Linked DNA regions of Macaca mulatta. The protein of the gene in region 1 interacts with the protein of each later gene in a pairwise test. Links are inferred from orthologs where the notes say so. Each region holds a gene or a part of one and is shown in the gene's direction. Other genes may lie near its edges. The genes, in order: RBPMS, HEYL, CSN3, GCM2, TFG, ZNF488 and TLE5.

What was found.
Region 2: the proteins of RBPMS (region 1) and HEYL interact in binary tests that used the Homo sapiens proteins (3 or more experiments, as listed by UniProt). The two-hybrid records come from large-scale screens. The link is inferred for Macaca mulatta from reciprocal best matches to the Homo sapiens genes RBPMS and HEYL.
Region 3: the proteins of RBPMS (region 1) and CSN3 interact in binary tests that used the Homo sapiens proteins (3 or more experiments, as listed by UniProt). The two-hybrid records come from large-scale screens. The link is inferred for Macaca mulatta from reciprocal best matches to the Homo sapiens genes RBPMS and CSN3.
Region 4: the proteins of RBPMS (region 1) and GCM2 interact in binary tests that used the Homo sapiens proteins (3 or more experiments, as listed by UniProt). The link is inferred for Macaca mulatta from reciprocal best matches to the Homo sapiens genes RBPMS and GCM2.
Region 5: the proteins of RBPMS (region 1) and TFG interact in binary tests that used the Homo sapiens proteins (3 or more experiments, as listed by UniProt). The two-hybrid records come from large-scale screens. The link is inferred for Macaca mulatta from reciprocal best matches to the Homo sapiens genes RBPMS and TFG.
Region 6: the proteins of RBPMS (region 1) and ZNF488 interact in binary tests that used the Homo sapiens proteins (3 or more experiments, as listed by UniProt). The two-hybrid records come from large-scale screens. The link is inferred for Macaca mulatta from reciprocal best matches to the Homo sapiens genes RBPMS and ZNF488.
Region 7: the proteins of RBPMS (region 1) and TLE5 interact in binary tests that used the Homo sapiens proteins (3 or more experiments, as listed by UniProt). The two-hybrid records come from large-scale screens. The link is inferred for Macaca mulatta from reciprocal best matches to the Homo sapiens genes RBPMS and TLE5.

The regions. Positions count from the first base shown.
Region 1 is NC_133413.1:32,321,015-32,324,514, forward strand, and holds part of RBPMS (RNA-binding protein with multiple splicing), read left to right. Parts: intron 1-764; coding exon 765-895; coding exon of another isoform or gene 896-1,042; exon of another isoform or gene 1,043-1,895; intron 1,896-3,500.
Region 2 is NC_133406.1:201,156,812-201,159,490, forward strand, and holds part of HEYL (hairy/enhancer-of-split related with YRPW motif-like protein), read left to right. Parts: intron 1-1,805; coding exon 1,806-2,479; 3' UTR 2,480-2,679. UniProt on the Homo sapiens protein: Downstream effector of Notch signaling which may be required for cardiovascular development. Transcriptional repressor which binds preferentially to the canonical E box sequence 5'-CACGTG-3'.
Region 3 is NC_133410.1:63,651,972-63,656,246, reverse strand, and holds the start of CSN3 (kappa-casein), read left to right. Parts: upstream 1-1,475; 5' UTR 1,476-1,622; intron 1,623-3,753; 5' UTR 3,754-3,761; coding exon 3,762-3,815; intron 3,816-4,275. UniProt on the Homo sapiens protein: Kappa-casein stabilizes micelle formation, preventing casein precipitation in milk.
Region 4 is NC_133409.1:172,240,460-172,244,684, forward strand, and holds the start of GCM2 (chorion-specific transcription factor GCMb), read left to right. Parts: upstream 1-1,425; coding exon 1,426-1,570; intron 1,571-2,421; coding exon 2,422-2,659; intron 2,660-3,620; coding exon 3,621-3,744; intron 3,745-4,225. UniProt on the Homo sapiens protein: Transcription factor that binds specific sequences on gene promoters and activate their transcription. Through the regulation of gene transcription, may play a role in parathyroid gland development.
Region 5 is NC_133407.1:182,877,746-182,881,245, reverse strand, and holds part of TFG (protein TFG), read left to right. Parts: intron 1-72; coding exon 73-219; intron 220-3,500. UniProt on the Homo sapiens protein: Plays a role in the normal dynamic function of the endoplasmic reticulum (ER) and its associated microtubules. Required for secretory cargo traffic from the endoplasmic reticulum to the Golgi apparatus.
Region 6 is NC_133414.1:61,512,849-61,517,028, reverse strand, and holds the start of ZNF488 (zinc finger protein 488), read left to right. Parts: upstream 1-1,380; 5' UTR 1,381-1,460; intron 1,461-2,106; exon of another isoform or gene 2,107-2,183; intron 2,184-4,180. UniProt on the Homo sapiens protein: Transcriptional repressor. Plays a role in oligodendrocyte differentiation, together with OLIG2. Mediates Notch signaling-activated formation of oligodendrocyte precursors.
Region 7 is NC_133424.1:3,855,194-3,859,320, reverse strand, and holds the start of TLE5 (TLE family member 5), read left to right. Parts: upstream 1-1,327; 5' UTR 1,328-1,524; coding exon 1,525-1,752; intron 1,753-1,938; exon of another isoform or gene 1,939-2,254; coding exon of another isoform or gene 2,255-2,281; intron 2,282-2,525; exon of another isoform or gene 2,526-2,832; intron 2,833-3,177; coding exon 3,178-3,275; intron 3,276-4,127. UniProt on the Homo sapiens protein: Transcriptional corepressor. Acts as a dominant repressor towards other family members. Inhibits NF-kappa-B-regulated gene expression. May be required for the initiation and maintenance of the differentiated state.

The DNA.
Region 1 (3,500 bases):
TCAATCGGGCCAACTGCAGCCTGACCTGGGTGGAATTGGAGCTGCCTGAGGAACACTTAGACCAGGCGCTTGGCAACATGACTCACTTTTTCCCCCTAAAAGTTAGTCTGTAAAGAGCAACTGGAAATGTTTACATCTTTGTGGAGTGTAATTTTAATCAGGATTCTCAAGGTTTTTCACCTCAATTCTCTGAATTTTTAAGATCTTAAATGCCCTGTGGTCACAGTATTTGGCCCTGTACTTCTGGGGGCTACATGGAAAATGCTTGATGATCATGACTGACTTGTCAATAGTAATTATGCCAATAAACAGAAAAGCCTTCCAGTTCTGGTCTGTTGAGGCCCTGCCGTTAGGCCATTGTTTTCCCAAAGGCTCTGCGGTGGGTTCTCATGGGATATCTTTCATTGGTTCTTTCTCTCCCTTTTCCTCAGAGGGCCACATTTTCTGTTTTGTGCAGGAAATTCCCACTGTTTTGGGTTCCCCAGCTACAGTTGGAAAGACATCAGAGTGTTCAAGGCGGAGTCCAGGCCTGAGATCTCAGCAGGCCAGACAGACAGCAGATGCTTGTTACTTTTCTTGTTATATTTTTCGTTCCTTGCTTAGCACTTATGGGACCAAAGCCAACAAACAACAGGTTGTGAAAAGAATGAGAGTCATTTGGCTTCTGACATTGATTGGGGCTCGGGGTTTTTGGGTGTTTTGTTTTCTGATTTGAAACTAGCTGTTTGGTAACCACTAACTCTCGCCTTATTCTTTTCTTGCAGATGAGCTCACAGTGCCTGCACTTTACCCCAGTAGCCCTGAAGTGTGGGCCCCGTACCCTCTGTACCCAGCGGAGTTAGCGCCTGCTCTACCTCCTCCTGCTTTCACCTATCCCGCTTCACTGCATGCCCAGGTAATTGATACCCATCGGCCACGACTTCACTCACTCCACCTCCAGTCCTTTCAAACTTGGTTCCCCAGAGCACACCATACAACTAACACCTATCCAGCTAACAGATCCACCTTCAAGAGATTAATGATCCCCTCTAAATCAAGCTGACACTCCTTCAGGACTTACGAGGATCGTCTGACAGCAATGATATCACCCACTGCCTGATGTTTGCCCCAAATGACACCTCTCTCTTCCTTAATGATCTCACCTCATATCGCACATGAGAGACTGGGGCAAGTTTATCCACTTGGCTCCCAGCTAGCTAGAGGGCATCACCGGAGCGTACACGTGTGTGCCTTGTGTGGAAGGGCTACAGAGGAAGGTGTGTGCTGGGAGCAGGGGATATGTGCGTCTGTGCGTGTTTCTGTGTGTTGAGAGTTTTCCACTCTCGTGTACTGTGAGAAGAATCTCTGACCAAAGGGAAAGCTTCCATGGGCGAAGGCTATACTTTCTTAAATATGTTACAGGAAAGATTAAGGGTTCCTTTTCTCCATTTTCAGGAAACCCTGTAGAAAAGGAGGTACAGGATAGTGTCTAAGATGGAATTACAGGTCAAGGTAGAGATCTCTATTCTGACCAGCTTGCTTTCTTAGTTAAAAATAGCCTGATTTTTATAAACAAACTTCCTGTTTCTCCACAAAGGTTACTATCTACATACTAACACTTCCTCTCCCCTTGGAGAAAATATTCTCTTAGCTGTGCTTTTAGCGCAAGTAGTAGTAATCAGTGTAAAGATTCACCTTTGGAGATCACTCATTCTTTGGCCTGCAAAGATTGATGACCAGTAACAAATAGAAAGTACGTATGTAGGTTTCATTTATCTTTCTGCATGTGTAATTCAGCCTTTAAATTTTAGATTTTCAAAAATGATTAGGCTGGACAGGCAGAGTTTTCATTTGCTTGTTTTGCTCAGTGTTTGTTTTCAAGGCTGGATGAAATAAACAGCTTCCCAGAAAACTTCCTTCTGACTTAAAACTCTTTTATGTTGTACAGAATTCACTGTCTTGATAAAGACCACCTAGAAGCAGCCCTCGGTGAGGGTTCTCGAAAGTCATGGGGTCAAGATTGTTGTTGGCTGAACATCTTTTAATTCTTTTCGCTGAGTTACCAACACATTGTGCGTGCATTGACGACCCGGCTTCCTGGGCTGCCTTTGGTGCCTGAGCCCCAGTAATGATTGCCCTCTGTGTTGGGAGAAGAAGGGAGAAAGTAGTACAAGTAGTGAAGAAAAAAATGTAGGTGGTGGTGGTGGTGAGAGTACATGGCACAGAAAATAAAGGAGCCAGGATTACTTGTGCCTTTGGCTTCTCCTTCCCCTGCTGCTTTTTCTTCCTTTTTCCATGTCAATGCTTGAGAACCCTCACAACTGGCAGGTAACGGGGTGAGGGGATAAAATGTAAACCTGTGGGTTTCTCTGCTGAGTCATTAGGATCTTTGTAGCAGGCTGCGGATAAATGTGTGGATGACATGGGACAACTAAGAGCCCCTTTTGCTTGCCACCTCCCACCCCTGCTCTGGATGGTGTCTCCTCTTGCTAGACTGCCGGGTACAGATCACGTGGCAGTTAAGGCAAATGTTAATAAATACCGTGAAACAGTGGTTTGCATAGTCTTCTGAATAGCCATATCAAGAGTTGACAACGGCCAGAAAGTACTGGGAATGGTGGCTTTTGGATATGACATCTGCCCATTCTTCATTCATGTAATGGGTAAAATCAGAAGTAATTCTGGAGATACGGTATGGTAAGAGAAGGGCCTAAAGAGTCTCAAGAGATTAGAAAGCACATGCCATTGTAAGGAAGGATGGGGAGAGACAGTGCCAAGATTAGATGGACTCAGCCATTTGACTTAATGGGTTGTATTGCCCATGGTGGCACCCTCCCCTGGGAGTTCTTGATCTTGAGACTTTCCCAAACTGGAATCCACTTAGCTCTGCCACATCGGTCCCAGATTTGGTGGGACTCTCATCTGATACCAGTTTTCAACGCCACTTCTTGTTTGGAGTCATTCCCAGTGCAGGCATGGACTCTGTGAACACATTCCGTTATTTAAATTTATTTGTGCAGTATGAGAATCAGAATGAGCTAGTAGAGGCTCTACAGATCAGCTGGTCTGACCCATTTGACAGATGAGGAAACAGGCCTGAGAAGATGGAGGGAGCTGCCCACAATCTGTGGCTCTGCCATGACTAGACCCAGGTCACCTGCCTCCCAGGCCTGACTCTTTCCACTCCGAGGTGTTGGCTCACCACAGACTTATTCTTTAATGGAATTTTGGAAAGGCCTCACTCCAGTGACTCCTTGGATCTTTCTTCTCTAAGTAGATGGGAAGCCTGTAAGAAGAGACTTGGAGGCAAAGCAAAGGGAATCAGCACTTAACCTTCACCCAAAGGGCCCAAGAGAATCTTTATTAACTGGAGGTAGAGCAGACTGGAGCCTTTACGGGGCATCTCCCCATATTGGATAATTCAGTTTTTGTTTTGGAAATCTTATAATGTCTTTGGAGAGGCTTTAAATAATTTTGTTTTTCTTAGCAATGTTATGCTCTATTTTGAGACATGGATTTTT
Region 2 (2,679 bases), on another chromosome or scaffold:
CAAATCTCAGGATTGTAGCAGGACACAAATTAACTCATTTTGTTATTTTAAGCCCATCAGTTACAACAAAGTAATGGAACAGTGGCTTTAAAGACACTCCCAGGCCGGGCATGGTGGCTCATGCTTGTAATCCCAGCACTTTGGGAGGCCAAGGCAGGCGGATCATGAGGTCAGGAGATCGAGACCATCCTGACTAACATGGTGAAACCCCGTCTCTACTAAAAATACAAAAAATTAGCTGGGCGTGGTGGCGGGCGCCTGTAGTCCCAGCTACTCGTGAGGCTGAGGCAGGAGAATGGCGTGAACCCGGGAGGCGGAGCTTGCAGTGAGCCGAGATCCGGCCACTGCACTCCAGCCTGGGGGACAGAGCAAGACTCCATCTCAAAAAAAATTTTTAAAAGGCCGGGCATGGTGGCTCACGCCTGTAATCCCAGCACTTTGGGAGGCCAGGGCGGGCAGATTAGGAGGTTAGGAGATCGAGGCCATCCTGGCTAACACGGTGAAACCCCATCTCTACTAAAAAATACAAAAAATTAACCAGGCATAGTGGCGGGCACCCGTAGTCCCAGCTACTCGTGAGGCTGAGGCAGGAGAATGGCGTGAACCCAAGAGGCGGAGCTTGCAGTGAGCCAAGATCGTGCCACTGAACTCCAGCCTGGGCAACAGCAAGACTCTGTCTCAAAAAAATAAAAAATAAATAAATAATAAAACTAAAAAAAGAACAGCAAACACAGAAAGGTGAGGGATTTGCTTGAACTTACATGGCTAAGTGTAGAGTAGAGTTGGTTCTTGCCCACAAGTTGACCTGGCTCCAAACATAGTCTCCAGCTGAGCTGTTCCTCTGTGGGGGCCATGAACCAAGGACCAGATATTTGCTGCCATCGTCATGAGACCAGTGCTGACTGGGGTTGTTCTGTCTTTGCCCAGAAGGTGGTCAAGAGAGGAACAGGTATGGAGAGGCAGTGAGGATGTGAATACTTGTGCAGGAAGTTTACGTGGTTATCCATCAAAGAGAGGGTCCCTGGCCGAGCAGCTGAGGGTCACAGTGGGGTCTTGATTTCCAGATTGCCTTTTGAGCCAAGGGACAAACTCAGATGCCAACAGGGTCAAGCCAGTAATATAAGTGATAGCTAATTTTTCATTTATTCAGCATTTTCTGTGCACTATTTTAATTTCACCCTCACAACTCTATACAGTAGGCACTGCTATATCCCCATTTTACAGCTAAGGAAATTGAGGCACAGAGAGATAGAGACTTGTCCACAATGAGGCAGCTAGTTAAGTAGCTGACCCAGGATTTGAACCCAGCTCTCCTGGCCTCTGACGACCTCACACTTCACTGCTACACTATGCTGCCTTCTCCAAGGGGCCTCCTCACTCTGATGGCTGCTGCTGCCACCTCCCTTCCTGGGCATCTGCCCCTCTCAGCAGGCAGGGTTGTTCTATACCTTCAAGTGCACAACCTTTCATATCTGTCAAGTATTTACTTCAATGAAGTTATCTTGGCCACAAAGTTTTTTCTTTGCATTAATCATGAATTGTGATGCAAGCAATATTTTACATTTTATAATGCTTCATAGTTTAGTGAATTCATTTGATCATTATAACCCTCCACCCTCCACCCCAGGCAGGGATTTTTGTTCTCACTCTGCAGATGGGGAGACCGGCTTAGAGAGTCAGGGTGACATGGCCAAGGCTGCCCAGGGAGTGAGTGGAGGAGGCAGGTCCAGAACTCAGACAGACAGACGGAGGCCCCTTGCTTCTCCCCACACCTGGCATGACCTTCATCACGCCTCCCTTTGCAGGATTCTTTGATGCCCGAGCCCTGGCAGTTGACTTCCGGAGCATTGGTTTTCGGGAGTGCCTCACCGAGGTCATCAGGTACCTGGGGGTCCTTGAAGGGCCCAGCAGCCGTGCAGACCCCGTTCGGATTCGCCTTCTCTCCCACCTCAACAGCTACGCAGCCGAGATGGAGCCTTCGCCCACACACGCTGGCCCCCTGGCCTTCGCTGCCTGGCCCTGGTCTTTCTTCCATAGCTGCCCGGGGCTGCCAGCCCTGAGCAACCAGCTCGCCGTCCTGGGAAGAGTGCCCGGCCCTGTCCTGCCCAACACCTCCTCTCCTGCTTACCCCATCCCAGCCCTCCGAACCGCTCCCATTCGCAGAGCCACAGGCATCATCCTGCCAGCCCGGAGGAATGTGCTGCCCAGTCGAGGGGCATCTTCCACCCGGAGGGCCCGCCCCCTAGAGAGGCCAGCGACCCCTGTGCCTGTAGCCCCCAGCAGCAGGGCTGCCAGGAACAGCCACATCACTCCCCTCCTGCGATCTTCCTCCCCCACACCCCCTGGTCCTATAGGGTCCGCTGCTTATGTGGCTGTTCCCGCCCCCAACTCATCCTCCCCAGGGCCAGCTGGGAGGCCAGGGGGAGCCATGCTGTACCACTCCTGGGTCTCTGAAATCACTGAAATCGGGGCTTTCTGAGCTGCCCCTTCATCACCCTGCCCCAGGAATAAGGAAGGTTCTTTTACCAGGAGCCCAAAAAAGGGCACTGCCTTTTCTGCTTTGCTTCCTGGACTGGCTCATATGTGAAGGCACATTCTCCAGCCATCAGAGGCCCCCTCCTCCTCCAGCCCATCTCTCCTCCTCGCTGTTATCCAAGCTTATCCACCCAGCTCTCCTGG
Region 3 (4,275 bases), on another chromosome or scaffold:
TGTCCAGTTTTGCAAAGCCCCACAAAAGCTACATTAGTGTTTGAAGTGAATGGATGATACCATGGTAAACATGTTTTTATCTTAGTGGGAGAAAAGATTATTAGCACTCTCAGGTGTTCTTAAAATATATTTTCCTGTGAAAACATGTCTTCAGAAGTGTTCTGAGTGTCTGCTACTTGTAAGTTAAATAATTCAATACTCAACTGAAAAATCATTAACACTCATGATTTTAAATCAATGGCTGAGAAATTACTATGTGAAATAGAACACCTTCAAAATTTAGGAATGACCAGATCATAGTCTTTCAACCATGGACCCTGAGAATCAAAGGAAAACACTGTGACTAAATAGTTCAGATAGAATGGCTGGTGTTATTACTTTAGCAACTTGGTTTAGCAATTTTAAATTCTGTCATCTCTTTTTGAACTGCAAAAACCAACTATTCTGAGAAACAGAAAATCTCATTTTACTCTGTGTAATCCAAATAAGTATTCTACGGTTTAGAATATTGTTCCTAACTTTCTAAGACATGCAACAGTTCTAAGAAACAGATAGGAACATAGACATAATTACAATGCTGATATTATTTCTTATTTGTGTTCTGGCAGTCTTACATTAATTCCTGTAAGTTCCTCAATCTGGTCAGTTCTTCACAGCCAAAATGAAGTCACAGTTAACATTATTTCTTGAGAAAAACAAGTAAAAGAAAATAATTCTTTCCTGAATTATCTAAACAAAATTTTTGTTTAGCTATTTTTTGCCAAAATATTCACAATGTCAGTGGGTTTGTGATGTATGCTCTAAGTCAAAATGACTTTCCTTAAAACAGAACAAATATCTCCAATTCAATAATTTAATAATGTTTTTTCAAAATGGTTCACCTATATTAATGAAATTTAAAATCTTAAAAATGTTTATTCATGAGAAAATAATAAATCACTAAGTATGTAGTCAATGCATATGGGAGAAAATGTGCTGCAGCTCAAATGCAAATAGTTCCCCACTTTACACCGATTAAAATGTTTCATATACGGGTTTTACCTTTATAAGGAGGTGCTCTTGGGTATGTGTGAGATGGCCAATTATTTAATTTTTAAAAATCAATAATTGTAATTCTGGAAGGAAGAAGACCAACCACAGTCTATACCAGATGCAGTATCACTTGAAATCCAGGTTCTTAAACTAAAAGAAACAATTAAAATGTGAAAGTATTGTGACTATTTTTCATTTCAACAGCAGTTTTAAGTTCAAATACATAGGATAAGTTGAATAAGAATACAATTAATATTTTTTAAAATTCTTCTATATTTCTTTATAAAACAAAAAAGATTGTTTAAAAAGATATGAATACTCTTTTTTCAAGCTTTATGAGTGATGACTTTACATCCTTCTCCGCATTTCATTAAAAAGGATTGACCCAAAGGTGACCCTGCTGTCATCAAATCTTTCCTTTCTGTCATCATCTTATTGGGTAAAAAGTAGGAGGGAAACAGAATAGCGTGACTCAAGGTACTAATATCCTTTCATTGGTCTGGTCTTCAGTTATTTATCTTGGGTCTTCTCTGCAGCTGACAAGCCAACTCAACCTACTGCCAACCAAGACCTGACTGGCACGAGGAAAGGTAATGCTGCTGAAACACCTGAGAAAAGAAAGTGATTATTTTCACAGTAGTTAGTTGGGACATCACCATAGTTATTTCAGAATCACATTTTCTTCCTTTTAGTTATTGTTAAGCTTGAATATGACCTAGCATCACTTTAAAATTAATTTCTAACCTAAACCTAAGTTCTGAATGGTGTTATGATCAAATTTATTTTTAACTTTAATCTGGGTTCCAGTCGAATTCTGACACCAGCTAAATCATAGTAGACATTGTGAATTCCGAACAAAAAAGGCGTTTAACATATTCCTACAGACAAACGTTGAGAGTTAATTCCTCAGGAAGTTGGACTCATGATAATAATCGCAATTGATCCCTTAATAACTTTCAAAATTTATTTCTATAAAAGTCATAATTTTATGTGTTATGGAATAATAATTTTTTTAAAACATGTCTTTCAAATACTCATGAAAGCTGTATAACTCTACCATTTCACAAACTATTTCTTCTTACCAAGTGATGAGGGCAAATGCAAATGTAGCTGATATGCAAAGTATGGTCTTATCTCTGTAATTTTTGTTTGTGCCAAAAACAAATTACTATCATTTTATAGAATATTTTCTTTTGTTTACATATCATTTTACTGTGTGAATTGATAAGGGGTCTGTGATTCATCATGAAAATATTTTCAGTCTATAATCCTAAAAGATCACTAGCAAGTGAAGCATTAATAAGGAGCTTCATCCCACTTAAAGAAATACGAGTTTTCTTAGATTGTTCAAATTGATTACAAATGAGTTCCATCGAATGGAAATTGGATGACATCGTATGGGCAGTTTTGAAGTCACTTCAGTAGACAGCCTTCCTAATCATTATTGCCTGAGAATCAGACGCTAATGGAGTACAATGTGCTTTCTATCCCCTATCTGAGACTTTAATTCTGTGAATCTTTTTTGTAAAGTTCAAGTTTGTGGTGATTTAAGTTTATATGAGTATATCAATAACAATAGCTGCAACAAGATGAAGTTAGTAATTACTTCCTAAACATAATATATACTTAAATATAAAAAGTTTGGGGTATCATATATTATTATTGTCTAAAAAGATGATTTATTAAAAATCAAATAAGAAGGTATGACACTGTATATACTCTTTTAGAAAAATAAGGTTAATTTATTTCTTTAAATATTTTAGTCAAAGCCACTGTATCATCTCTATATTTCCTATTAAAACACTCGAGTTAATCATATCGGTTATGATTATTAGAGAAGCATGTTATAAAGGAAACAGTTTCATAACCCTCCACTTCCCGTTCCATCCTACATACTTCTGTTGGATTGATCATGGAATTACAGAATTTTAGAAATCTCTAAGTTCAAACCCTAGTTTTACAGGTAAAAAAATGTAAAGCCCAGGAAACGGAAATCACTTGATCAAAGTTACAGAGGTAGAGAACTCTGGTCTAGAACTCAGTCCTCCAAAAAATGTATAGTCATACACTTTCTAGTCCGAAAACAATCAATTGTTTTCTGTTGTTTATAAAGCCATGCCTAGCTTTTTCACCCATCATTAACTTAAAGGTGTTTACTTTTTCTGCTCTAAACTTTCCTTCCAATCTTGTATTTCTCTTCTCATACAAGATTCCAATCAAATGTTCATGGTGATTCTCAAGACTTTCTCCTCTACTTGAAATACTTCTCTCCCTATTAAACCCTGCATAGGCAAGCCTCGCCTGTATGTCATTTTCCCACACAAAGACTGCTGCTTCTCTTAACTGAAACTTTTTTTAGTAGAAAACCACTTTTGTGGCATTTTCTACTTTTTTCCCTCTTACAGTTATTCGTGTATATTTCAACACTCTTCCTAAAATTGATGCTACTCATTGCATCATATTTACCTTGATAATCTTAACATTTGACATAGTAATGATAATTTTATAATTCCATTAATGCTGTCAAAAATTAAATTCAGAAATTTTTTTACTCCAAGTTTGAGTTTTTACATTCTTTTGTTAAAATAAATTTTTCCACATTGGCTAAATCTACTTGTAAATCTGGCTTTTTTTCTTAATCAAAGCAAACATTGTATTCAAGTCACTCCTAAAATTCTAGTAACAAATTATTCTAAATTAATTTTTTAAATGTATCTTTAGGTGCAATAATGAAGAGTTTTCTTCTAGTTGTGAATGTCCTGGCATTAACCCTGCCTTTTTTGGTAAGTTAATTTCATCTAACCAGTTTGTACTGACTTTAAGAAATTTTTATTTAAGGGCTCTAACTATTCAAATTTCTTAATACAGTTATACCTCATAGACCAAAATATCTACAAACTTGTTATATTTAAGGTTAATTTTTTAAATATTATTTCTATTATAAAATCAAAGTCATGTTCTTTTGGATATCCATTTAGTTCTGTGAATTAAGAAATCATAGTTAATCATATATAGGAAACTTTTAAAATTCTCATACTATAGAGAAAATACATTCTGTGGGGAAAACAATACTGAAAACATTTTAAAATTATAAATGCATTAAAGATAATTCAGAAAGAATAACTACAGAAATCATAGTCCGGGAATCAGAAATTATTTTAATTAAGTTCGTATCTCACCCAGACTCCAATGTCTTTATGGAAACAAAATCCTTCAAAGGTCAACTTTGGTTAAGCTTTTTCA
Region 4 (4,225 bases), on another chromosome or scaffold:
AACTTGAAATGCATATTTTAATTCTTCTCAAAGTAAATATGGTAGAGGCTCTATGACATTTCTTTGGATACCAGAATCCCTTTAGAAATTAATTGATTTGCTTTTAACATAAAAAAGTTTTATTTATTTACATTTTGACGGATCAGGTCTCTCTAGGAACATTCCGAAAGCACAGAGACAGGAACTATTCTAGCACTGCAATAAGACCAAAAATTAATTTCTATGCATTCTCAGAGGTAACTTTAAGTCACCATTTTAAAGTTATTTTTAGAACATTTGAAAGGATAAGTTATCTTAAACTACAACATTTAATGAAAGAATATATTTTAAAATGGATGATCAATAAATTTTCATTCAATTTTGGAAGACATAACAACACGAAAAGCAACTGAATCAACAGGAGTTTCGGGGACCTTTGGCAGTCAGTTAATAAGATGAAAATCTGTGAATGAACCTGGTGGGTGAAGAGTAGACACATCTCTTCGTTCCCAACTGGACCTTAGTGGCGACCATTTGAGAGTGATTTTAATCAGAAACCCTGACGACTAACTGGACCTTTCAGGAGGGGAGAACTTCGGGAGAAAGGAGGCTGGGAATGAACACATCACTTTCTTCTGCTAGGACCCTTCAGCTTTGCTTGGGAGGAGGACCCAAGCTTGAAGATAAGGGAGGAAAAAATCGCGAGGAACTGCTCAAAGTTGTCCTTTCTCCCCAACAGAGTTCGCTGGTCCGCTGCTATTGGCCGGCTTCTGTGACAGACCGGGATACTTTTTCTTTTTCTTTTCTTTTCTTCTTTTTTCTTTTCTTTCCTTTTCTTTTTTTTTCTTTTTTCTTTTTTCCTTCCTTCTTTCCTTCCTTCCTTCCTTCCTTCCTTCCTTCCTTCCTTCCTTCCCTCCCTCCCTCCCCCCTGCCTCCCTCCCTCCTCTCTCTCTCTCTCTCTCTCTCTCTCTCTTTCTTTCACTTTTCTTTTTTTTGAGACAGGGCCTCGTTCTGTCGCCCAGGCGGGAGTGCATCGGCGCTATCTCAGGTCACTACAACCACTGCCTCCTGGATTCAAGCGATCCTCCCGCCTCAGCCTCCCTAGTAGCTGGGACTACAGGCACACGCCACCATGCCCAGCTTTTTAAAATTATTATTATTATTATTTTGGAAGAGACAGGGTTTCTCCATGTTGCCCAGGCTGGTCTTGCACTCCTGGGCTCAAGCGATACTCCCGTCTCGGCCTCCCAAAGTGCTGGGATTACAGGCATGAGCCACAGCGCCCAGCCGCGGGATCGACTTTTCTAAGCAAGCTTCACTGTGCCTTTGGCTGGGGAAGTAAAAGGACAGGGAGTGTGGACCACCCTTAGCTTCCTGAGGTTGTTTCGCTCTTCCTTTATCCGCCTTTTGCCAACCGAAGGCACTAATCCTGCAAGAGGCGTTGGCATGGGCGCCCTCCCGGCAGAGTCCCGCGCAGCACCCGTCCGTGTGCCGAGCGCGGGCTTTGCGGTGCCGAGGTCTAGGGCGCGTCGCTCCCCAGGTCTGGAGGGTCATGGGTTCGGTTCATCCTCCTCTATCAAGGGAATTCGCCGTGAGGAGTTGGCTCCTCTTCTCTGGCTAGGGCTGGGAATGGAAGCGTGCAGCTGCAAAACAAGGGCGCGGGGAATAAATTCCAGAAACCCTTTTCCCTGGCCGCCCAGAATCCGGCCCTGGCGTAGTCAGAGTGACTTTAGTCACTTCAATCGATTTTTTTTTTTAACTGAGGGTCTCCAAGTGCCATAGTAGCCCTGGGCGAGACGGCTGCTCAGATGAGGAAGGTTTCGTCCCAGTCCCGGAAAACCCACATAGTCCTGCGCACCCCCGCACCACCGCGATTCTCTAATCCCCCAAAGCCTCCCAAGACTGTAATGGAGTAAAATTTCCACGACTATATCAGGAAAGTTTTGTTTGTTTGTTTGTTTGTTGTTGTTGTTGTTGTTGTTGTTTTTTAAGAGTTTTAAAAGAGTTGTGAGCCGGGCGCGGTGCCTGTAATCCCAGCACTCTGACAGGCTGAGGCAGGCGGATCACGAGGTAAATAGATCGAGACCATACTGGCCAACTTGGGGAAAACCCGTCTCTGCTAAATATACAAAACTAGCTGGTCGCGGTGGCGCGCGCCTGCAGTCCCAGCTACTCGGGAGGTTGAGGCGGGAGAATCGTTTGAACCTGGGAGGCGGAGGTTGCAGTGAGCTGAGATTGCACCACTGCACTCCAGCCTGGGCGACAGAGTGAGACTCCGTCTCAAAAAGAGTTCTGTTCAGGTGGGTGGCAACTGAGAGCTACCCGAACCATAACCCCTTATTTAACAGATAAGGAAGCTGAGACCCAGAGGGAGCCAAAGCAGTGGAGAAAGCTAGGAGTTCTTCGGGACTTTACCCCTCTCCCTTTTCCGTCCTTCCCCAGGCTCCTACCTACCCCAGGCTCATTTCCCCCCACCTCCTCCGGGTTCACTTTGTAGGACTCCGTTCCTGCAGGGCCAGGTCCCTCCGAAGTCCCCGGGAGCGCGAAGGCGCCTGGGCTCGCGAGCATACGCGGAGGCGTGGCGCCCGTTCACACATCCCAAACAGCCGAGCGAAGACTCCGAGACACGCACAATAGTTAGGGGAAGAGCCGGCAATGGAGGCCCAAAATGGGCTGACCCGTAACTAGGAGGCATGGGCACGGTTATTCAGCGTAGGGAGCGCGCGGACGGCAGAGGGGCCCATGCACGGTTCCCATGCTCTACTGGAATTGAGTGTTGACTCTCAGGGGACTTTGCTGGAAAGCCTCTGCTTCCAAAGCCTCCATCTAAGCCCCTTTCCGAAATCAGGGAAGCTGGATGCGTTTAGAAAAAAAAAAAAAAAAAAAAAAATAGGCCGGGTGCGGTTGCTCATGCCTGTAATCCCAGCACTTTGGGAGGCCCAGGCGAGCGGATCACCTGAGGTCAGGAGTTCAAGACCAGCTTGGTAAGGGTTTCGCATGGCGAAAACCTGTCTCTACTAAAAATACAAAAATTAGCCAGGCGTGGTGGCACGGACCTGTAATCCCAGCTACTCGAGAGGTTGAGGCAGGAGAATCGCTTGAACCTGGGAGGCGGAGGTTGCAGTGAGCCGAGATGGCGCCACTGCACTCCAGCCTGGGCAACGGAGTGAGACAAAAAAGAAGAAAAGAGAAGAAAATAATAAGGTTTTAAACTTAAAGGATACATTCCAACTTACCCTCTCCACCCCCACCCCCTGGCTGCAGTTTCCCTTTGCTTCCAGGGCTGAGTTTAACCTCCACCTCCGTTCCTGGGTCTGTGGTGGAGGTGGTGGCCGGCCCCTGGAGCGTGGGCGCTAGCGAGGTAGGCGAAACAGGGCGGAGTCCCCCGGAGATGCATCTTTATAAAGGAGGGATCAGCTGCAGACGTCGATGCTACCGTTCGGGTGGAGACCGTTCAGCACCGCGGCCGAGGACAGGGCCCCGCCCGGGTCCATAACCATTGTCCCCAACTTCCAGATTTCTAAACAATCTCTCTCTCTTTCTCTCTGCCCCTCCCCTTCACACACATACCCCACTTTCTTCTTTAAAGAGTAGGAAAAAAATCACCTGGCGCACCTCTCCTTTTTTCTTCTATTTTTCAGAACCCTGGGCGGAAAGCGCGAGCGAGTTGGGCAGATGCCGGCAGCCGCGGTGCAGGATACGGTCGGCGTGTGCTCATACGGGATGCAGCTCAGCTGGGACATCAACGATCCACAGATGCCTCAGGTAAGTGAACCGGGTGTGTGCGGGCACGCGGGGCGCTGTCTATCCGAAGGAGGGAGGGAGAATGGCATTCAAGTTCTTGAAGAGTCTGCGGACGGACCATGACGTGGTCACACACACACACACACGCACACACACGCAAAATTTCTGGGTTTCTGAGGCCCCCTCAAATGTAGAAAGAGAACTGGACTCCACAAAAGGCTGAATTGGGTTTAGAAATGTGTCTTCTCGGCCGGGCGCGGTGGCTCACGCCTGTAATCCCAGCACTTTGGGAGGTCGAGGCGGGCGGATCACCTGAGATCGGGAGTTCAAGACCAGCCTGACCAACATGGAGAAACCCCGTCTCTACTAAAAATGCAAAATTATCTGGGCGTGGTGGAGCATGCCTATAGTCCCAGCTACTCGGGAGGCTGAGGCGGGAGAATCGCTTGAACCCGGGAGACGGAGGTTACTGTGAGTCAAGACCACCCCATTGCACTCCAGC
Region 5 (3,500 bases), on another chromosome or scaffold:
TCCTTGTTGCATATTATTAGTATACTTATTCATGAACTTCTAATTTTAAGCAAATAAATGTTTTTATTTCAGTTAATGGCCAGCCAAGACCCCTTGAATCAAGTCAGGTGAAATATCTCCGTCGAGAACTGATAGAACTTCGAAATAAAGTGAATCGTTTATTGGATAGCTTGGAACCACCTGGAGAACCTGGACCTTCCACCAATATTCCTGAAAATGGTAAACCCTGAATCCATTGTATTCTGATTTATTGTTCTTACGTCTTTTTGGAGGTTTGTAAAAACTCTTTTTAAGTAGGAGAAGGATGGCACCCCCAGTGTCACTCTTGTTCCTCTGCCTCTCTACTAGTATTTATGTCTGTGTTCCTAAACCTTGCTGTTCATCAAGATTACTAGGAGGTTTCATTATACCAATTCCTGGATCTCATCATAGACCTACTGGAGTTTAGGAACTGGAAATCCCATTTTTAAAGTGTTTTCTGGGTGATTCGTTCACAACTAGTCTTAGACTTTTGGATTTATTACACAGGTCAGTTTTCAAATCCTCTTGACACATGAACCCTTTTTAGTATAATAGGTAAGTAATGAACCTTGGGAATTGAAAATCATTTCATGAATATTACGTAGTGTTGGAAGTAGTTTCAACTAAAAATCACTTAGATTAGTAATATTCATTAAAAATGGTACATTGTAAAGTTGAAACACAATTTTTAATAATATTTAAAGAAAAACTTTTTTTCCCCCATTTTATAGATGACATGTACTATTTGTGTTAAGATAAAGCAAGAAGTATCGACATTTGGAACTGACATAATTTTGGGACCAAATGTATTTTAAAATGTGGACTGAAATTTAAGTATGTGTTATGACTTGAAAGTAGAGTTAAAAAACTGCTTTCTTCTTTTAAGATTCTTAGATGTTGCATTTAAAGAAAACTCATTATTTTTTACAACTTGTTTGCTTATAATTTTCATATGTTTAGAACTGTCCATATTGTGAAATAGTAATTAAAAAAAAGTCTGGTCTGGATGACTGCATGTAAAGGGCTTAACACAAGATAATTTTTGTGGATAAATGGCATGTATTCTGTTTTTGGCCATTAAATAATTTGGGAGTTTTTGTTTTCTGTGTTTATTTTAGTTACAGTTTAAATAAAGACGTATTTTCCATCATTACTCTCTTCCTGTCTTCTAATAATCATGTGGAATTATGTTAATGATAGATAGTTAATAAATATTTGGTGATTGGTGATTTCTAGTTCCACTTCTATTTCAGAACATAATGGGACAATTTTTCTAGAAGAATTCATAGATGCTGACACAACATTTGCATATAATTTCAGGGGATTTAACCATCTGCAAAATATTAAGAAATGTAGATGAGAATTTAACCAGTATAGCCAGTACTGTTCAGAAATTAGCTACAGTGGCCCACATTCTACTCTCAGGAATGGATTTATGAATTTGTTGGTTTAGGTGAAACTTTTTCCTCACCTATTTCTAGCTACTGTTTATACTTCATTCTTTGTTTCTGTATTTTTATACATATTATTGTTAGCTTTTTACCTATGTTAACGTAAAAGATGTTAAAATTGGTTTCTTCTCTGCATCTTGGAAGTCATGCCATGTGTTGTTTTCTTGTATGGCCATCTTCTAGTTATTGTGTCCTGTCTGACGTATCTGATGATAAGATGATATAAGAATAATACAATCTGCATTTTATTTTTAGAGATAGTTCTAATTTTAAAAAACAAAAACAAAAAAAAGCGCCCTACATCAGAAACTGAAATCTAGTCCACAAAATGAAATTGCCAATCAGCTATCAGTGCTATTCAGAACCTGTGGATTACCCTCACCAAGAAACATGGCTGCCTGTGGTCTTCAGCTCTCTATTACAGTGGTTCTTGGATGCTTGTTTTCCTCCAAGAGGCAAATGGTGTGTAAACTACCTTAGATAGAAGATTGACCTGTTGGCAGTATCTCCAGCAGTTAATGGAGCAAGTAGTAGGACATATAGTGTGTTTCCTGATCGTTATAGTTTGTGATAAGTGAAAAGAGGCATAGGTAGTGAGATGTGAGGGGAAACAATTGGTAAGAGTGACGTGGTATGCTCTTGGGATTAGAGGAAGGAACTTGGTAGGGAAGGTAGATAACTGGTAGACGTGTTTTAAAGGAATAGTTCTAGGGGTTTTCCTTTTCCAAAAACTTAGAAAATATTAGGGTAGCCTGGAATGGTATGTTAGGAATGAATGAGCTGCCAGCCAGTGTGTGCTGTGGGTATTTATATTCCTTTAGCACTTAGTTTTTTTCAGAAGATACATTTTGTATTGATTACTGGGGTGATCTAAGAACAGATATTCATTTACTTACTTGGTAACAAAAGTGATAATCATTGTTCCTTAATTGAGTAAATGATTAACAACAGTCCTTTTGTTTACTTGTTCGTGTGTTTTGTTTGTTTGTTTTGATGTCTTTTGTATCTTGGACTTGGATTCCTATTTGTAAAATGTAGGTTATTCTTGAACTCTTTCTTTCGAAAGACAGTAGTATAAATGCCTGTGGAATATCTTAGTATCCTTAGAAGAAAAGCATGATTTTAAATTTAACCTGCTTATAATATTTAACATTTTGTTTTTTGTTGTTGTTGTTTTAAACATTTTATTATAGAAAAGTTTAAGTATATACGAAAGTAGACATTATAATGAATCCCATAAACCCACATACAATTTCAACAGTTACCAACTTATGGTATCATATAATTATGGTACACACACTTTCACCACTCCTGTTACCCAGACTGGAGTGCAGTGGTACGATCTCAGCTCACTACAAACTTCTCCTCCTGGGTTCAAGTGATTCTTGTGACTCAGCCTCCTGAGTAGCTGGGATTACAGGCATGCATCACTGTGCCTGGCTAATTTTTGTATTTTTGGTAGAGATGGGGTTTTGCTAGGCTGGTCTTGAGCTCCTGGCCTCAAGTGATCTACCCACCTTGGCCTCCCGCCGAGATTACAGACATGAGCTATCGCACCCGGCTCCCCTCCTGTATTATTTTGATGCAGATCCCATATACATCATTTTATCTGTAAGCATTTGAATAAGTATTTTAATAAGTAATACATATTAAAATAGAAGGTAGCAAATTCAAAAATGTTTTTAATGTGCTATTTATGGAAGATTATGAATTAATTATGGTTGGCTTGATTTCCATGTAGTGGACCACTAGACAGTAAAAATGAAATGTTAAATTTGAGATTATAACTTTAGTTAAGTTTCTTTTTATAAAATAAAGCCTTAGTTCCTATAATTGTTATTTCCAGAGTGCCCAGTGGGTATCTGATACTAGGATATAGGTCATTGGGCTCCAAAAAAAAACCAAAACAGTAAAATGTTTCTCTTTATCCAGGAGCTTGTATTTTTTTCATCTAATATTTCTTATGAAAGGAGGTAAATAACTTTTTTGGAAAAGCTGTTGTTAATCTTCTGTTTCTTTTTGCCCTCT
Region 6 (4,180 bases), on another chromosome or scaffold:
ACCCCCTTCACTCTGCACTTCACTCATTCTTCTCCTTCTTGCCACTCTGTGAAGAAGGACCTGTTTTGCTTCCCTTTCCACCACAATTGTAAGTTTCCCGAGGCCTCCACAGCCATGCTGAACTGTGAATCAATTAAACCTCTTTCCTTTATAAATTACCCAGTCTCAGGCAGTTCTTTATAGCAGTGTGAGAATGGATTAATACAGTCTAAAATATATCTTTCTTTATATGTTAAAAATTACAAGTGATGAAAAGCATTGAGTTGGTTGGTTGTCAGTTTTTCCCCCCTCTTTTGGAGTTGTATTTAGTATAATAGAATATCTTAAATTAGTGTTGTTTTATAATCAATGAAATTGGGTGTACTTCTATGCTGTACTAATATGGGTGTTACTATATGCTGGGGGCATATTAGGGTTCTCTTGCTTCATGCCTTCCGTGACACTTGTTATTGTTATATTTTAACACTTATACCTAATGATTAAACATCTCCTTGTGGTTTTAATTTGCATTTTCTAATTACTCTAGAGACTTCCTTCGTTCACATGATTTTGGTCGCTAATGGTTCCTCCGAAGTGCCTATTCATGTCTGTATCCATTCTTTGCTTTGGGTGTTCCTCTCCTTCATTAAAAGTACATATCCTGGATACTAATCTTTTATCAATTGCTGCAAGTATCTTCTTTCAGTGTGTGGCTTGCTTTTTCACTCCGTTTGTTGTTTTTTTAATCAAAGTATAAGTTCTTAATTTTAACGCACTTGAACTGTCATTTTCCACCACGGCCCGAGTCGCGGAGCCCGCCTTCCTGGCAGAGCGCTGCGTGGTCACAGCTGGGGTCTGGGGAGCAGAGGCTGCGGGCGCTCCCGGGGGTTGGCGGGGAGAGCTGGGCGATTTCGGCGGGGGGAGGTGCCGCTCGAGGGGCCGCCAGGCTGCGCGGGGAAGGAGGGCCTGGAGGCCGCGGGGGTCCTCGGCGCAGACTGGAGCCGCAGGCGCCGCGCGCAGCCCCCGTCCGCCTCGCCGAGGCCCCGCGGGCCCAGGAGCGCGAGGTCTGGCGCCCAGGACCAGAGGGGGTCGGCGGGAGCAGGCGCCGCCTCCAAAGGACGCCCTCGCCCTCCTGCAGGCGCTGGCTCCAGACCCTGACCAGCCAGCTGGGAGCTGAGCCGGGGTAGGGCCGGGCAGCCCAGAGGATCAGAAGGGGGTTTTCTCCCGGGGTTGGGGGTTCTTTGGCCAGCAGCGCCCTCCCCCGCCGGGGTCGCCCACCCACAAGCCCCGCCCCGAAGGCTGGAGCTTCCCTGGGGATGGGCGAAGCCGAGGCCACGCCCTGAAGGCGGGAGCGGGTTTGGGGCGGGACCTGGCCACCCTCAGGGCTCCAGCGCCAAGTTCAGAGCCACGCGCTGTGCTCTTGGCCGGGAGGAGGCTGTGCTGCCCCAGCACCTTTTGCTCCACATCTCCAGAGAGCCCAGGTGAGGCGCGCCCTCCTGTCTGCAGGGACAGAGCCGCGAGCGGGCGCGGGCGGCCGGGTCCATCTCACTTCCACTGCCTTTCCCCAGGACAGGGTTGTTGAGTCCTGCCTTTGACTGTGGGGTCCTTTCCTTCCCAATGTCGCCAGCTTCCTCTAGCTCTCTCATGTCGTCTCCGACTCTCATCCCCGTTTCTGTTCCCTTTCTCCTCTCTCACTTTTTCTCCTCTATCTCTTCTTTATTGTCTTCCTGTTTTCATTTCCTTCCGTGTCAGTCTCTCTCCCTCTCCCTCTTTTCCTCTCTTTCTTTATCCTTCTCCCTCACCTTCCCCCTCTCCCCGCTGTTTTTTCAGCACTCAAGAATTCTGCCTATGATTTTTTTTTTCCTCCTAGGGTGACTTTCAGGCTGCAGTTGTTTTCGTCCCTCCCTCTGCCCCTCCCGGGGTTTATCGTGTATTGCTCTGTTATTCTCAGCCCAGGCTTGCGCTGGGCAGTAGGGTAAGAACCATGCATCAGCCCCAGATCCCTTCTCCAACAGATTATATCCAAAGATCTGGACGTGTAACCTGTTCACTGCCTTTCCTGGGAAACAAAACAATGCTAAATGATCACATTATACTGAGTTTTTAGAATGAGCTGAAAGAACATACCTGGTTTTAGAGGCAAGGGGTTGATTGAATCCTTTCCTTGACATTTTGCCTTTACTAATAGACACAGACAGCACAGCAGGAAGCTAAGCCGTGCAGAAGCATTTAAGGGAAGTTCCCACCCACACCTGCCTTCTGGGCAGGTTATGCAATGCCAGGTGCAGGGGAGGGAGGGGACAGGATTCAGAGCAGGGTTGTGGGAAGACAGTGGGAGGCCAGAGCTTTGCACCTGAAACATCTGAGGGCCCCTGGAAATAAGAAATTAACAGTAAATTTCTAAAATATGTAGTTGCCAATGCCACTGATGTACAGAAATGAACTTACTTAATTACTCCTGAGGGAGACGTTAGGCATTTTATGGCAGTAATTATGGCATTTGAAATTAATGATTTTATGTACATTAAATAGGAGGGCCAAGGGGAAAATATTTCCTGTTAGTGTCAAAGATTGTCATAGATGCATAAAGGACGAACTCTAGAAAATCAAGCCTCATTCATTTTTGAGGGATAAAATAGAACTATATCGAGGCAATTTTTTGTTTCTTGGTTAAAATGTAATCTTATCAGAGATATGTGATTTAATTTTTAATGATATTTATGACACATAATATTTATATGTTCAAACACACACAAATACATAATATATATGCACTAAGTTATAAAAGAGCCTTTGTTTGTTTGTAAAGATCTTAATTACCAATAAAGCTTGAAGCTTTTGCTTCTTGGAAATAATTTAACATGATATTGTAGTTTATTATGACCTTTAATGAAAATTCAACTCATTTACTTTTGATTGATACAGAAATGGAAATTTGGCCATAGATAAATCACACAGAATTAAACAGAAATTAAGTATGATGAAGGTACATTGCAGTGTGTTCAGTGAAAGAATTTGCATGTGCTAGATATTTTGGACAAATTCATAGGTATGTGCGTGGAACTGTGATTTGTGAGGCTCTTTTCTGGTTTAAAAAGTTAAATTGCCTTTTATATCTAATCCCTGATCCCCAATATGTGAGGATTCTCGGGGGAGGGGTAAAAGACTTTGCAAATGATTTAGAATCATCATGTCTGCTTTGCTTGGCAGATTTCTTTTCGGGTATCCAAGAAGTGGCAACTTTTGTTTGAAATATGTAATCACACCAATTTTTTTTTTTTAAAAAGGATGAATTTCAATATTTTTAAACTGATCGTTCCTCATTAGTGGTCAGTGTCTCTGTAAGAACATCATTGTCTTTTTATCCTTAGATGATGCTATTGTTGGAACCTGGGAATGTCAAAAGGAGTAGCTGAGGTAAAATCATGGACTTTTTCCCAGAAGGCTGCCAGTGGAATTGGGACCACCGTCTCAGGCTCCACCTTTATTCTCTAGTTGTAGTAGGAAAAGAGCTGCTGTTCCTTGTGCTCTTGCTGCCTGGCATGTACAGAGCCCTGTTGAGTCCCGTCCGTGAGTGCCTGAAGTGAAGATCACTGTTCTTGTTTTACTTATGAAGAGATGGAGACCCAGAGTATTTGTCTGAGGTCAGGCAGGTAGTAGCAGGGCTGATTTGGAACACAAGTTGTGCCCTGGAGCCTGAGTGACCAGGGCTAATTCAGTCCCGTTATGTGACTTCCATGTTGCTGCAGCCCTGGCACATGTAACATCTAAAATATCACTCCACACAGCACCAGCCATTGCCTATTGGCATTGTTTGGCAGAACACTGCTCCCTGTTCTGTGTCCTGGCCATGCTCAGTCATATCCATGGTAGACTCTCCATCTGCACAGCAGGGCCCCATTGAAGCACTGGATTTGCCCTCTGCTTTCACTGGCCCTGCTTCTGCACAGTCTCAGGTATCTGAGTGGGTGATGAGATTGCATCCACCCCTATGAGGGTCCACATGGCCAAGTTATGTTGCACTAGGGCCACTCTCCCTGCTTCCATGGGTACTGGCTGTGTCCGCAGTCTCCTGCACTTAGCTTTCCTGGAATGCAGCAGGCATTGCTGCTAGAGGGGTCCAGGCATAGCTGGCCACAGAGCTTGTAGGGGCTGACCAGGAATTGCTCATCTCCCCAGTGCCACCAGTCAGCCTCTGGGA
Region 7 (4,127 bases), on another chromosome or scaffold:
TTTGTATTTTTAGTAGAGACGGGGTTTCACCGTGGTCTCGATCTCCTGACCTTGTGATCCGCCCGCCTCGGCCTCCCAAAGTGCTGGGATTACAGGCGTGAGCCACCGCGCCCGGCGGAACAGCCTTATTTCAATGGCCTCTTTGGGGCCTGTTCTCTGAATGGCAGAAAGAGGGATACTTTCATAACCGCCACCAGGTCCCATTCCTCCTCTTCCCACGGCTCTCCAGGATTCCCACCTCACTCAGAGCAAAAGCACAAGTCTAAAGCCAGGTGCGGTGGCTCACACCTGTAATCCCTGCACTCTGGGAGGTAGAGGCGGGAGGATCACCCAACGTCAGGATTTCAAGATCAGCCTGGCCAATATAGTGAAACCCATCTCTACTAAACATACAAAAATTAGCCAGGCATGGTGGTACGCACCTGTAATCCCAGCTACACGAGAGGTTGAGGCAGGAGAATCGCTTGAACCCGGGAGGCGGAGGTTGCAGTGAGGCAAGATCACGTCACTGCATTCCAGCCTGGGCAACAGAGTGAGACTCCATCTCAAAAACAAACAGCTGGGCAAGGTGGCTCACGCCTGTAATCCCAGCACTTTGGGAGGCCGAGGCAGGTGGATCACCTGAGGTCGGGAGTTCAAGACCAGCCTGACCGACATGGAGAACTCTCGTCTCTACTAAAAATACAAAATTAGCCGGGCGTGGTAGCACGTGCCTGTAATCCCAGCTACTCGGGAGGCTGAGGCAGGAGAATCACTTGAACACGGGAGGCAGAGGATGTAGCGAGCTGGGATCGTGCCATTGCATTCCAGCCTGGGCAACAAGAGTGAAACTCCGTCTCAAAAGCAAACAAAAAACAAACCACCAGGTCCCATCCCTCCTCCTCCCACAGCCTTCCAGGGCTCCCACTTCACTCACCCAAAAACCCAAGTCCTCCCCATGGCCCACAAGTCCTTGCTGGACTGGCCTGCTTCACCAGCTACAGAGTTAGCAGGGCCCAGTGCAAAAGAAAACTGAAAGGCCCCTTGTTCAAAAATGATTAGGAATCTCAAAATGCAACACTAAATATTAACCCAAGCACAAGCCCTGCTGAGGAGGGGGGGGGGCCCGGGCAAATGCATGAAGCCCCAGGCCCTGCCTCCCTCCGGCCTTCCTGACCTCCGCCCTGGCACCCTGATGCCAGGCACAGTCCTGCCCCAGGGCCTTTACACCTGCTGGTCCTGCCTCTGAGTACCTCTGTACCCCATCCCCCTGTTCTCTCTCCTTCTTTGGGTCGTTTTAGGGGCGGAGGAAGCTCTCTCTGATCCTCCCTGCCACCTGTTTAACTTTGCATCTTCCTACCCTGCCATCCTCCCGGCTGGTTTTTCTGCAGAACGGTCCCCACCATCTGACCTGCTGGGAATTCAGCTTGTTAATTTGTCTCTGTCTGTCTCCAGGCACCACCACCAGAGCAGGGACCCCCCACCCCCGCCCCCACCACAGGGCCCTGGAGCAGCAGGCCCTGGCACACAGTAGGCGTTCTATAAATGTGTCGCAAGAATGGCTTCCCTGAGAAAGGCGGCATTACCGCTGCCTTTCTGCAGAAAAGGAAACTGAGGCTCAGCGAGAACCACCGCCCAGCCAGAGCCAAGGTCACAGAGCACGTCCGTGGCACGCGTCCAGGTCGTGCCACGGCAGGGCTGGCGGCTTCGACGCGGGCAGCCGGGTCCCTTTTCTTTGACAGATGGGGAAACCGAGGCCCGGCCTGCTGCCGGGTTGGGGGGGGTGGCGGGGGCCGCGGCCCGGGGCGGGGGCGGGCCGGGCCCAAGGTCACCGCGGCGGGCGGGCCCTGGGGAGGCGGGCCGGGGTGGGGATCCGCAGGCCTCCCCGGGCGCGCGCCTCCCCCCCCTCGGCGGCGCGCACGGGGCACGGGCGGCGGCGGCAGGTGGAGCCGGAGCCTCAGCATCAGCCGAGCCGCGGCCACTGCCGGCGTCGCCGCCATTAGACAATAGCGGTGGGGCCGGGGAGCGGGGAGGCGGGCGGCGGGGAGGGGCGGGGAGGGGCGCCGGGCGCGCAGGAAGCGGGGCCCGGGGCGCGCCGGGGCCGGGCGCGCGGGGAGGGGGCGCAGGAAGCGGGCGAGGCCGGGCGCGGGAGGCGGCGGCGGCCCCGGGAGCTGCCGATCGGCGCCGGGACAAAGGCGCGGCCGCCCGGCGCCCCCAGCAGCCCGAGCCGGGGCGCACAGCCGGGGCGCAGCCCGCGCCCCCTGCCGCGACTGACATGATGTTTCCACAAAGCAGGCATTCGGTAAGCGGGGTCCGTCCGGCAGGCGCCCCCACCCCGGATCCCGGCCCTGCGCTCCCCACCCCCGGCTCCCGGCCCCGCGCCCCCCACCCCCAGGCCCGGTGCCTCCGGCCCGGCACCCCCCCCAACTCCCCGGCCCTGTCTTCCCTCTCCAGCTCCAAGCCCGGCGCGACCCCCCTCCTGCCGCCGGCCCCCGGACACCCCCCAGTTCCCGATCCACCCCAGCTTCCGGGCCCCGAGCCCCCCCGTCCCAGCTCCCGGCTTGGCGCCCCCCCCCTCGCCGGGACAGGCAGGGCCTCGGACGGCCTTGGCCTCGGGCCTGGGGCGCTCCGGGAGCCCCGCCAGGCACCTCTAGCGCGGGGATCCTTTGGGGGCCTGTGGTGGGGGGGCGATCCGAGGCGCACCCCTCCCGGAAGAGCGCGTCCCCGAGGAAGGGCGCTGGGAATCTGGGGTGGGCCCCCCGGGAAGATTTCGGGCGCCGAGAGACCCCTCCCCCAAGAGGGCTTTGCTGGGAGGACTCGCTGCCCCCCAACTTGGGGAGGGGGCTCCCTAGGGTGCGTATCCACCCCCCTCGGATGTGCACTCCCTCCCGGCGCTTTGGAGGGGCGGTAGAGGGCGCACCCTGCCCCCCATCTAGGGCAGGCCTTAAAACGCACCCCCACTGCTTGGAGGTGGCGGGGGTCGGGGCGGCTCCGGGCGCACCCACCCCCTCGGCTTCCCCCGGGAGAGGCGGGGGGCAGGAAGCGCGGGTGGGGGCCGCGCCAGGGGCCGTAAACACGGGCCCAGGAAGTGGGGCAGGAGGGGGGGCGCCGCAGCTGCGCGGCCGCTCCCTCCCGGCTGGCCCTCGAGGGGGGTCCAGCCCAAGCCAGGGCCTGACCCGGGCCGCCCCTTCCCCACAGGGCTCTTCGCACCTACCCCAGCAACTCAAATTCACCACCTCGGACTCCTGCGACCGCATCAAAGACGAATTTCAGCTACTGCAAGCTCAGTATCACAGGTGAGCTGGGGGGCCGAGGGTCCCTGCGTCCCGAGAAGGTGAGCCCCCCACCCCATTTTTTCTGCGCAGATGGCAAGGCTGAGGCCTGGAGGGGAGATTGGGAAAATAATGTATGCTAGACTCTGACCTAATACTTGACAAATAGGGAATTCATTTTTTTTAAACAGCTGCATTCTGTGGAGGACAAAACTGAGGCACAAAATAAGTTAAATAATTTGCCCAAAGACCCAGCTGTGTGGCTTCAGAGCCCCTCCCTCCTACCCAATCCCCCCAAGTCCCCCCTTGGATAAAAGACAATTGGAGTTAGGGCACAGACTCGCCGTCCCCCCAACCCCCAAAACAAACATTTTGCAGCCTGGTCATCTCTCTTTGCCCAGTTTTGGAGAAAGGGTTCCCAGCATCAGTCAGATTCTCCCAGGTGCTTCTTTCAGAAATCTCCTGGCGTTTCTGAAGAGCTTGCCATGCTGTGGTATCTAAGGGGAAGGAACTATTTAGTCCTTTTACACTTAAAGAAATTTAATCCCAGGCCGGGTGCCACCGGTGGCTCACGCCTGTAACCCCAGCACTTTGGGAGGCTGAGGCGGGTGGATCACTTGAGGTCAGGAGTTCGAGACCAGCCTGGCCAACATGGCGAAACCCCGTCTCTACTAAAAATACAAAATTAGCCGGGTGTGGTGGCAGACGCCTGTAATCCCAGCTACTTGGGTGGCTGAGGCAGGAAACTTGCTTGAACCCGGGAGGCGGAGGTTGCAGTGAGCAGAGATCGAACCACCACACTCCAGCCTGGGTAACAGAGAGAGACTCGGTGTCCGAAAAAAAACAAAAAAAAATAAAGAAGAAGAAACTTAAGCC